Drosophila melanogaster: one gene and its partners. The protein of the gene in region 1 purifies or fractionates together with the protein of each later gene. This does not show direct contact. Each region holds a gene or a part of one and is shown in the gene's direction. Other genes may lie near its edges. The genes, in order: CG7423, CG5157 and CG14259.

What was found.
Region 2: the proteins of CG7423 (region 1) and CG5157 purify together in Drosophila melanogaster (affinity purification with mass spectrometry, with the first as the bait; one large-scale study listed by BioGRID). This does not show direct contact.
Region 3: the proteins of CG7423 (region 1) and CG14259 purify together in Drosophila melanogaster (affinity purification with mass spectrometry, with the first as the bait; one large-scale study listed by BioGRID). This does not show direct contact.

The regions. Positions count from the first base shown.
Region 1 is NC_004354.4:19,081,997-19,085,018, reverse strand, and holds CG7423 (uncharacterized protein), read left to right. Parts: upstream 1-1,728; 5' UTR 1,729-1,839; coding exon 1,840-2,214; 3' UTR 2,215-2,410; downstream 2,411-3,022. Other genes in the region: CG14191 (uncharacterized protein), read right to left, coding at 2,579-3,022.
Region 2 is NT_037436.4:16,135,975-16,140,027, reverse strand, and holds CG5157 (uncharacterized protein), read left to right. Parts: upstream 1-2,148; 5' UTR 2,149-2,966; coding exon 2,967-3,326; 3' UTR 3,327-3,541; downstream 3,542-4,053. Other genes in the region: elg1 (enhanced level of genomic instability 1), read right to left, coding at 3,562-3,832.
Region 3 is NT_033777.3:27,092,684-27,096,380, forward strand, and holds CG14259 (uncharacterized protein), read left to right. Parts: upstream 1-1,849; 5' UTR 1,850-1,969; coding exon 1,970-2,096; intron 2,097-2,155; coding exon 2,156-2,405; intron 2,406-2,529; coding exon 2,530-2,663; intron 2,664-2,732; coding exon 2,733-3,091; 3' UTR 3,092-3,173; downstream 3,174-3,697. Other genes in the region: CG14258 (uncharacterized protein), read left to right, coding at 496-580, 652-898, 953-1,086, 1,143-1,453; eater, read right to left, coding at 3,241-3,296, 3,352-3,697.

The DNA.
Region 1 (3,022 bases):
CCACGAAAGTGGGTGCTGCTTGGTGGGTGGGTGTTGAAAATGCAAAACAATTTCAGGCGAATTAGCGTAATTGTCTCGCCGCTGCTGTTGCTTCGGCTTCTGCTTCTTCTGAGACAAAAGGGCCAAGGAGAAAGGAGAAAGTGGATAGGATAGAGGGGGGAGAAGAGAAAGGAGGAACAGCAGCAGGACTCAAGCTACTTAATCCTCTAATTTGTGTGACTGTGTGTGTGAGCCGCGCCCCTTTTTCTGGGCTTTCTCTAGCCCGGGCGAAGCAAAGTTTGCCCTCATTTATATGCAAAAATGTAAACCAAAAAATCAGCGAGAATGTTAAATCCAACAAAATGCATTTAACACATAAAAATTTGCATAGAAAGTGCCTTCGGTAAGCGCCCCGCCTTACCCCCAACCTCTAACCGTCACCACGATTTCCCCATCCAGAAAACCCCATTCCATTCCTACGAGTTCTGTTTTCGCATACCGCACTATCTAAGTGCGAGCAGCAGAACAATTGAAGTTAATTTTATTTTTATTTTTATTTCCGGCACCCGCTACTTGAGTATTATTATACTAAGCCTTAGAGTGTGTGTGGCTGCCACGCCCCAATTTAAGTAGTTGTTTCGGCTAACATCCGCTTAAAATGCGCCCTTCTATGCGCTTCTCATTGTGTTCACGTTATAGATACAAGCCCTTTAATTTGCTAAGTTCCATTTGTTATAACATATGATATATTAAACTTCAACTACATTCTTTGAATTCAGCTTACCTTATATTTAAACTCGTCCTTCTATGCGCTTCTCAATTTTTTCGCCTTATAGATACAATCCACTAATTTTAGTAATAACCGTATATGGTATCTTAAACGTAAACTATTTCGTCTTTAATCTCCGCTTAATATACGCTCTTCTATGCGCTTTTCAAAGCATTTACGTCCTGGGTCCACTCCGTTGAATTTGCTATATCCTATTTCTAGGAACCGCTGGTATCTCAAACTTCAACTACCTAAACTCGGTTGCTGTTAAAGTGCGCTCTCCTTAAGATTTCAACTTGTTGGACACTTTTTAACGTTTCACTTTCGGAATGGTAATCTTTGCCCATCCCGATACTCATACCCCATTCTCTGCCATTTTATATCTGTCCGTTTCTTATTATGTATTTGTAACCAATTGGTTGCCAAAACCCCCCGCTCTGCATTCACGCTCAGTCAATTTTTTGTTGCCACTGCCGCTGCTGCTGCTGCTCGTGTGTCCTTTGTGTTGTTGCTGTTATTGCATGTGTTGAGATTCTCATGGAAATTTGCATACAAATTGCGTCTGGCGCGTAGGAAGCCCTACCATTTGGTGGGCGGTGGCGGGCTATATGTACCATGAACACTGACTGGAGGACGGGGACAGATGGCCCGACATGCGTATGGGGTTAACGAAGGGTTAACACAACACAAAAAACCAAAGCCCGAATGAAAAAACACAAATATAAAACATTGCCAACAACGGCAGCACCTGACAACTGTCAAATTCTGTGGGTTACCATCGATAAATAAAATGGGGGACAATTTTATGACGACGGGACGAGGTCATAGAAAACTTTGACAGATTCAATGGGATGTATGTTGTTATAGTTTTAAAAGCACCTACAAACGGCAAACTTTTAATGCCTCTAATTGCTTGCCGAACGCAGCTTTAACGATGTAAAAGGGCACTTTTGTTTAGGAACACAAACATCAAAGTAACCCAGCACGTCAACTTTAGAATTGAGCATACGTACGTACTACTATTGAAATCATTAGATTTTATGAATCGCATTGCTTAAAATACGGATAAAAACTGAGTCAAACGGATCACGATGGGCGATGGACACAAAATCGAGGACATCATCTGGACAATCAAGAACGGCGTGTACGACGAGGTGGAGCGAATTTTCCTAGCCGGATCGCTTAATGTGAACGATCAGATGGGCGTCCGGTTCCCCTTGCACTACGCCGCCGACTTTGGCCAGCTGAAGCTGCTGGAGTTCTTTGTGCGGATCGGCGCGGAGGTGGACAGGAAGGACAAGTACGGCATCACACCGCTCCTGGCGGCCATATGGGAGGGGCATACACGCTGCGTCGAGTTCCTGCTCCGGATGGGAGCCAGCCGCACGGAGCGCACGCCCGAGGGGCAGAGCTACGCGGAGGCCGCCGAGCAGGAGGACATTAGACGGCTCCTGGCGCGGGACTGAGGTCCTTGGGGATGTCCTCGTAACTCCTGACAGGGCATCATATATGGGAGATCCACCTATTGTACATTTTGCAAATTTTTAGTGTAACCTTTTGATAGGTTCATTTGCTAGCTGACTGATTGTAAGCGATGCATCAGCAGCTCTTACAATCTTGAAAACGAATTTTCTTGGAATTACAAGGTGGATTTATATCGAGAATCTCTATATCGGATTATTACTAAAAAAGAAACATTAGTTTCTGTTTTGATAGTGGAAATGGCTCTTCTATACCGCACTGTTTTATTGGTTAATGTTGGGAAGTATTTACAATTAAGGTCAGTGAGAAACAGTAACAAGTTAGTATCCGTTGACCAACGGAGAGCATTTACCAACTGCTCTGGGCCCAACCGCCCTGAGGAGCCCAACCGCCGGCGGAGTAGCTGGAGGCACCGCCGGAGGAGTATCCACCACCGTGACCACCGCCGTAGCCGCCGCCATACCCGCCGCTCGATCCGGCGTCGGAGATGACCTTGATGATCTTGACGTTGCCACCGCTTCCGTAGCCACCACCGCCGTATCCACCGCCGGATGACCAACCGCCTCCGTGGCCGCCACTGTAACCACCGGAGGAGCCGCCTCCGTAGCCACCTCCATAGCCACCTCCATGGCCACCCCCGTAGCCACCTCCGTAGCCACCACCACCAGCTCCGGAATCGGTGATCACCTTGATGATCTTAATCGTGCTGCCGCCTCCGTGGCCACCGCCGCCGTAGCCACCACCGCCGTAGCCACCACCGCCGTAGCCACCACCTCCTCCATGGCCACCACT
Region 2 (4,053 bases), on another chromosome or scaffold:
AATTTGAGTAACGAGAGGAAAGAAAAGTTAGAGAATGATACGGAGAAGACATATGTATAGTTGCGCTGCCGCCTTTTAAGCACTCACCACAGACCGTAGAAGGTTCATTTTTAAGTTATGTAACATTATTTCCATTCGTCGCTTGATAAAAGTAATAAGTCGAGAACGTTTTTGTAAAAACCAAGAAAGCAACAAACTTGAAAGAGACAGACACAATACCATAAAAACTGAAGAAAGGGAATGAGGAAAGTAAATAACAACACATAAGTGAATATGTAATTGTAATTTTATGAATGAATATTGTATACACTTTAGTTTCAATAACTCTAGTTTTAAATCGAAGCCAACCAACTCTTAACTATACTCTATCCCCCACCCCCACCCCCCTATCCAAATCCCCTTATCCCCTATTATTATTGTACGCAAGGCCCATGTGCTGGAACACACGAAAACACACACAAACAAACAATTTTTAGTTCAATTGAAATTTGTATTTGTATATTTGCTAACGGAATTACGATGTAAAGAAAAAAAAAAACAAAAAATGAAATGAAATCTATGTAAACCAAATTGTAGAGAAATTATTGTTTTCATTTTAAATTGGCTGCAGCTAATCTTGATTTCGGATTTTAGCGGGATACATTTTGAATTTTAAATTTAAAACGTAACGATCGATGAAACTGAAGTTATCGATAACCAATTGCAGTCTGGCAACAACGGGCGATCGTGCATTTTCAAGTGTAACTCTGGTCGAGTTTTGGCGGTTTATTTAAAATTAGATTGGCATTATATTTTTACGTTCTGAGTTTAGGAAAATCAAAGAGTTAAGAAAAAGTCCCATTGCAATGTATATTATAAGCACAATTAAGCAACTCAGAGCTTTTATTGTTTAGATATCCAGCCTTATTTATTAGTCTATAATTTCACGAATTTCTGAAATTCCAAAAATGCGTAATTTTTCAAACAACCCGTGCACCTTGTTGCCCCAAACATTTTATATTGAAATTATCAAAGAGAAGGAAAAACAAAAAATGGTTTCAAGAACTCACGATCCATTAAATCAAGTTTAAAACACATTTAACCAACAATTTAGATGAGAAATGGAATGCGAGAAACTAGGAAAATATGATAACAAATGCAAAATAATGGAAAACGAAAACACTTTACTACGCCAACAAGTCCTACAAGCCTACATTTTAAATACATAACGATATAGTTCGATGTCTATGGATCAAAGAATACTTAAAGTAATGCAACCGGAAATAGCCCGAAATATCACAGAACGAAGAGAAAACCGGAGACAATGAATAACTAAATTAAACGCGTAGAATTTAATCACTTAATTAGTTCTAAACAAATTAAGTCCAGCTAAATATCGAAGCGATTAAACTCGTTTGATCGGAGAATCATATACACATTTATACAAACAGGCCTAATTTCAACTACCTCCAAAACTGTTTTTTAAATTAAAAATTAAATTCTAAACGAAGATCAAGTCTACGAATTATGTTTAGCGAAACTAAACGGAAACTAAGTAAATCAAATGAAATGAAACAAATCGATTAAATTATAGTAAATCAATTGATTGAATTACGATTTTTTTAAATTCAAGCAGATCGATTAATTCAATAAATCAACAATCATTGACAAGTAATTAATTTTACACTTTATATATACGATATTTATTACTATATTGTATCTGTACGTTTAGATCGAGAATACAAATGAAAGCGCACACGAGCTGCGTTTCGAAAATGCAAAACCGTCGACTGATATATATAAATATATATATAACAAAAGCTAAATAAATAAAGTAAATAACAAGAAAAGTATAGAGATTCATTTGTAAATACACCGAATGCAGGACAATGCGCTGCGGAGCATTATGTTAATGTAACCACACCCAATCCCAAACAGTTTCTCAACAACTTTTCGAAACCATCCGAGATCAAAATCATCCCATCTACCATCTCCCACTTCCCAGAAAATCGAATTTGATTTTTGATCCCTGCAGGCAAAGTGCACCCAATACTAGCGAAATTTTTTAAAGCGCATTATGCAAAACGTCTAATATACAAAAATCGGAATAAAAATCGATATATATCTAAATACATATATATATTAATTGAATACCAATTATTGTTGTTGTCTCATATAAAACGCAAAAGCATTAAAAGCAAAAAAACAAAAATGGGAAAAATGAAAGCAAATTTAAAATATATTTCCAAAATATATAGAACATAACTATGAAAACATAAAAACCGTTTTTTCTTTAAGCAACCAAATTTGTTGTCAACTGGAAACTTTTAGCTTTGATTGGCACTTGACACACATTATTGCATTTTGGGTTTGACTGATTGTACGATATGAACCCTGCAATGTTCCAGTTATCAATAAATGGTGTCGAAGTTAATGGACATAACTAACTCAAAGAAAATTCCCACCATAAATTACTCAACGGGAAGTGTTCAAGTGAATCATAAACTGTGCTTAGATTTCACCAACGATAGAAACCCACTCAATGACAACTCGCGCCATCCATTTGCATTAATGATTTGCACAAATCCCACCCAAAAAAAGGAGATTGGTCACTGCCCACACTAGTAGCAGGTCGCCTTGAAAGACGGTGAAATTCTCACGTATTTCTTATCAACCACAATGCAGACAGATTGTGGAAATAACTGAAATAAAACAGCAAATAGTAATTGCCCGTCGAGGGGGAAATGGGGGAGAACAGGTACAAGGCAAGTACAAGCGATCTAGGCGATTGTTTGAACTATTGATAAATGTTAAACATAAGCAAGGGTCGCCCCTTGGCACGCGTCCAGTGTTTCCGAGTCCGTCCAACGGTTAACAGCTCCTAAAATTATCGAATCAAGAGCGCGACTTATTAAACGCAAATTAACAGCAGCCATTAAAAGACATTCGCGAACAGCGGAAAGCAATTAGGAAATCAAATCAGCAATATGTCACAGTTGTACGAACTCTCGGAGGTGGCCCAGCAGAACGGCAAGAATGGCAAACCCTGCTGGCTGATCATCAAGGGGAACGTGTACGATGTAACCAAGTTCCTCGGCGAGCATCCTGGCGGCAGTGAAGCACTACTCGAATATGGCGGCAAGGATGCCACCAAGGCCTTCAAGCAGGCAGGCCATTCCTCCGACGCAGAAAAGGATCTAAAGAACTACAAAATCGGAGAAATCAACTCAGCTGCACCCATTCAAGTGCAGCCAACGTCCAATGGTGCAGCAAAGCCGACGGCAAACACAATATCCGAAGATCCCGAACCCGCGAAGAATAGCTCCTCCGGTTTCTGTTGCTGCTAGTCATAGGTTTACATGTCATTTGATTGATTTATTAACATAGGATGAGGTCGTAGTTAGTTTATCATAGTTAAATTGTAAATAGTTCTAGGTTTATCTCATAATAGCTACATCTTCATGTCCACAAAGCTATCTTAAAAAAGATCAACTCTTCTTAAACGATCTGAATAAATTGCAAACAAAGCCGGCGGAGCTGCTCCACCAATTTCAAAAAAATTAAACTAAATCCAAACGATGCCTAATCTTTCGGTTCGGCCTCCATGGTTGGCTCGCTGCTGGGGGCAGCCGATTGGAACGTACTGCATGCAGTGTCAAAGTAATCCGTCGTGAAACTGGTCACGTTTACCGTGTGGTTGCGCAGATAGTGATAGAATCTACTCGACTTCCGTTCCAGTCCTGCCCGTTCCTTTTCGCTGCGGCATATGGAGCGCAGGGCGGGCTCGAAGTCCAGCGATTTGGCGGAGTCGGAACGGAGAACTCCGTTGCCCAGGTGCTGGCAAATTGAAAACCTGGAAAGATTACAGAAAGTTATAAAAAATGAAAAAATTAAAGCATAACTAAAATAAGTTTGGTATCTAATTAGTGAAAAGTCTGGGCACTAATTTAATGAATAGGTGTGTTCCTAAGATAGTTATAAGATCGGTCATTTTTATGACAAGGCTATTAGAATTCCGAACGCTAAAGATATCTTGTGACTAGTTGTTATTATGACTGCTGGATGATAACAAAA
Region 3 (3,697 bases), on another chromosome or scaffold:
GAGATCTACTAAACTAAATAAATCCGTCAGCATTACAGTCGTCGCATCTTAATGATCTTGTAGAACCAGTTCGGCTCCAGCGAAAGTGAGATAGAATATATAGAATAGAATATATGTCTAAGTATCTAGATATATGTATTATGACAGTACTTTACAACTGGAAATGGAGTCGCCGGCGAGGCAAAGGCTAAGTAATATTATAAAAATTAATGCATTTTCGAGCTAGGGTATCGCATCAGATGAATCGAAAGATTTGGGCACCCTGTACGACCACAACAAGTCTAATGCGGCCAAACTCGTTTACTTACTAATTGTACCGAAATAAATAAAATAAATATATATAAATCGGCAAAACAAAGAAATGATTTTAAAAGTTATACATTCGAGCGGTCCATTTCGAATAAAATTACCGGCGGCCAGACAGAATCGTCATTTCAATCAGAGCATTCAAAGAAAACGGTTCTAGTCATCACATTTTGGAATAAAATTATCAAGATGCTTATTAAAGTTGCCAAGTTCCTGAGTATTGTAGCCGTACTCCTTTCAGCAGTCGAAGGAGCTAAATATCTGGCAGAGAAACGTAATAAACATTTAATACAACATATTTTGGTTGAGTTAAGTTAATAATATTCTTAAATGTACAACTTTCAGCCGACTTCCTAATCCCATGTATCGTGGGCGATCCCAACTTTAATGTCTGTCTGACCAAAAACTTCCAGAGTTTCTTCCGTCAGTGGAAGGACGGAATTCCCGGCTACAATGCCGTGGGATCCTTTGATCCTTTTTACATCAAGAGAGTGAAATTTACCCAGGATGCCAGCAGGTCTATAGCTATCAATGCCGATCTGAAGGAAGTCTATGTAGCAGGTGCTGGTCAAGCATTAGTCTTGGAATCCAGGTAACCTATTTAAAGATTCTGACGAAATCAAGTTTGACCATTAAAAATTCTCAGCTGGGATCCAAATCACTATGTAGCCAGGACTTTGATTTCCGTGCCCAAGTTGCGTTTCAATTTCGATTACAAAGTCAAAGGACACGTCTCAGCGCTGAATCTCAATGGTCATGGCAAGGGATACTTCGAAGCTGGTAAGATGCAATCTACAATTTATGCGAATTACTATCTTAAAGCCGGTTTTATTCAGAAAATGCTCTGTTATTGTTGGAATTGGCTGTCAAACCGCTGGCCACCTCAGATGGTTATTTCGCTGATGTGCAAAGTGTAAAGGTAAATTTCCGCGAGATCAAGCAATTCCGCATCAAGCTGGAAAATCTCTTTGGCGGCAACAAGGATCTGGAGGATACTGCACACATTTTGTTCAACGAAAACTGGCGCGACTTCTTTGAGGTACTGCGTCCGGCGGTGGAGCAAACAGTTGGCGGAGTGCTTTTGGATCGGTTCAAGAAGACCTTTGTCTATGTACCAGCTACCTATTTGATTAAAGACTTTCACTAAATGCTAAATTAGCATATAATCCGGTACTTCTATGTTATTTTAATGGGTTCGTGTGCTCTGTCGTTTTGTATTAAATGGGTAGTAGTGTATGCTTGATTTATTTTTTGGTGGCACTGTATTAGAATTATATTACAAATTATTTTCATATCTTTGCATTCAAAGTGCTTCTATTATATTTTCATCTTTAGATACTTTTCTCACTGTATACTCGCTATTAAGTCAGGAAATAGGTGAATTAAAATGATATTATATTCAGCAACATGAGTTGCTCTTGGCCCCGGCATCGTTAGGTTGCTGTAAGTCGTTACCATATATGAGAACCCAAATCTCGAATCTTGGCAGTTGAGAATAAAACGCCGGATCACAGCAAGTCGCCGGCTAGTCGGTTTCAAAGCGTGACACTGTTTGATGTGACTGAGCAGCGGCTGCCTAGACCGCGATACGTCTACAGTACTATTCGCTGAGCTACTTAGATACTTAACTACTTGATTAATAAACAGTTGCCAAAACGACACCATGAGCAGCACGCGCTACGGCCGCACTTTGCTCGGCATTTGGAGTGGATTATTGGCCATTTTGTGCCTGAATGAAATCGCCATGGATAGGTCGTTGGTTTCAGCCGTTGCCTACTACTCCGAAAAACGTAAGTAGATGTCCTCAGAGTCGCAGTTCTTTTCAATGTTAGCAAATCGTGTTGCTCAGCTGCCTTTCTGCCATCTTGTCGGATCTACGAACCGGGCTTCACCAAGTGCTCTACGAATAGCATTCAGAAGCTTCTTGATCAGTTGAACATTGGAATACCAGAGGTGCTCGAGCGGTTCGGTCCCTTTGATCCCATGAGAGTTAGGGATATAGTTTTCAAGCAGGATAACAACGAGGTGGCCACCATCAGAGCCAATCTGACTGACCTGGTGGTCAAGGGTTTTGCCAACACAAAGGTCAAGGAGAGTCGGTGAGTACAAAGAATATGAAAGTCCTACAGATAAATTATGTATATTTATACTGCTGCTTTTGGAGTCAATAAATCTCTGCAACTTTGCGGAACAAATATATAAATATCTTTTTTCGACCACCAGTGTGAGCAAGAAAGACTTTAGCTGGCAGACCAAAATATATCTTCCGAAAATGAGACTGGATGGAAGGTATGAAATGGCTGGACGAATACTCCTTATACCACTGAGTGGCTCTGGCAAAATATTTATTGAGATTGGTAATTAGATTTCTATCGATATTTAAATGCGGGTGCAAATGGGCAGCTAACACTTTTAAATTCCCGCAGATGATCTTGACATTTTGCTACTAACAAAAATACGTCTGTATGAAAAGGGTGGCTTCACCTTCGACAACGTGACCGCTGTGCAGGTTCAACTGAATCTGTCCAAAGTGCGCACTTATCTGGACAATCTATTCAATGGACGTAGCAAGGAGGTGGAGCGCAGTACGAATGAGTTTTTCAATGAAAACTGGCGGGATTTCTACGAGGCCCTGAAACCACTCATCGTTGAGACGGTGGAAAATATCCTTTATGATGTAATGTCTACGGTTTTTCATTTAATACCAGCCAACTTTTTCGTTGAGGACATACCAACGCCCCAGCAACTTTATGGTCCAAAGGAGATACTTGGCAAAAAAGAATAGTTGAGTGATATCTATTATTGTTAACTTGTAGTACGCCATCCCCAAATTCTTTCAATATTTGTAATAAAAATCATTAACGAATATCCATTTTTCATTTTATCAGTAACTTTTATTGTATAATGAGAATATTGCTGACTTCCCGCTAAAGCTCAGGCTCGAATGATATCAACCTTATTGGGAGAGAAATATACACCGAACTCCCTCTCTGAAAACGAGAAAAATCATTAAGTTATTCAAAAACTGTTTGAAACATGGCTTACCATTCTTGTCCACGTGATATGAGCGTTTCCTAAATATATAAATAATCAGCATGGTGGTTATTATTGCCAAGATGAAGGCCATAGAAACAATCGTTATAAATACCCACTTCAAGTGTCTTTCACTCTTTTCATGGCCTGTAAGGGACCCAAGTGAATCCATAGATTGGCATGAGTATCCATCTATCGGACTCTCACCATCCCAGCAGACACAAGAACCCGGAAATTCGCAGAGCCCATTGAGGCACTCGGGTTCGCAAATCGGAAGACAGATCAAATTGTTGTCGTCCTCATTCCTATGCAGCTTATATTGTTTACTACAAGTACAAATTCCTTCGACGCAGGTTCC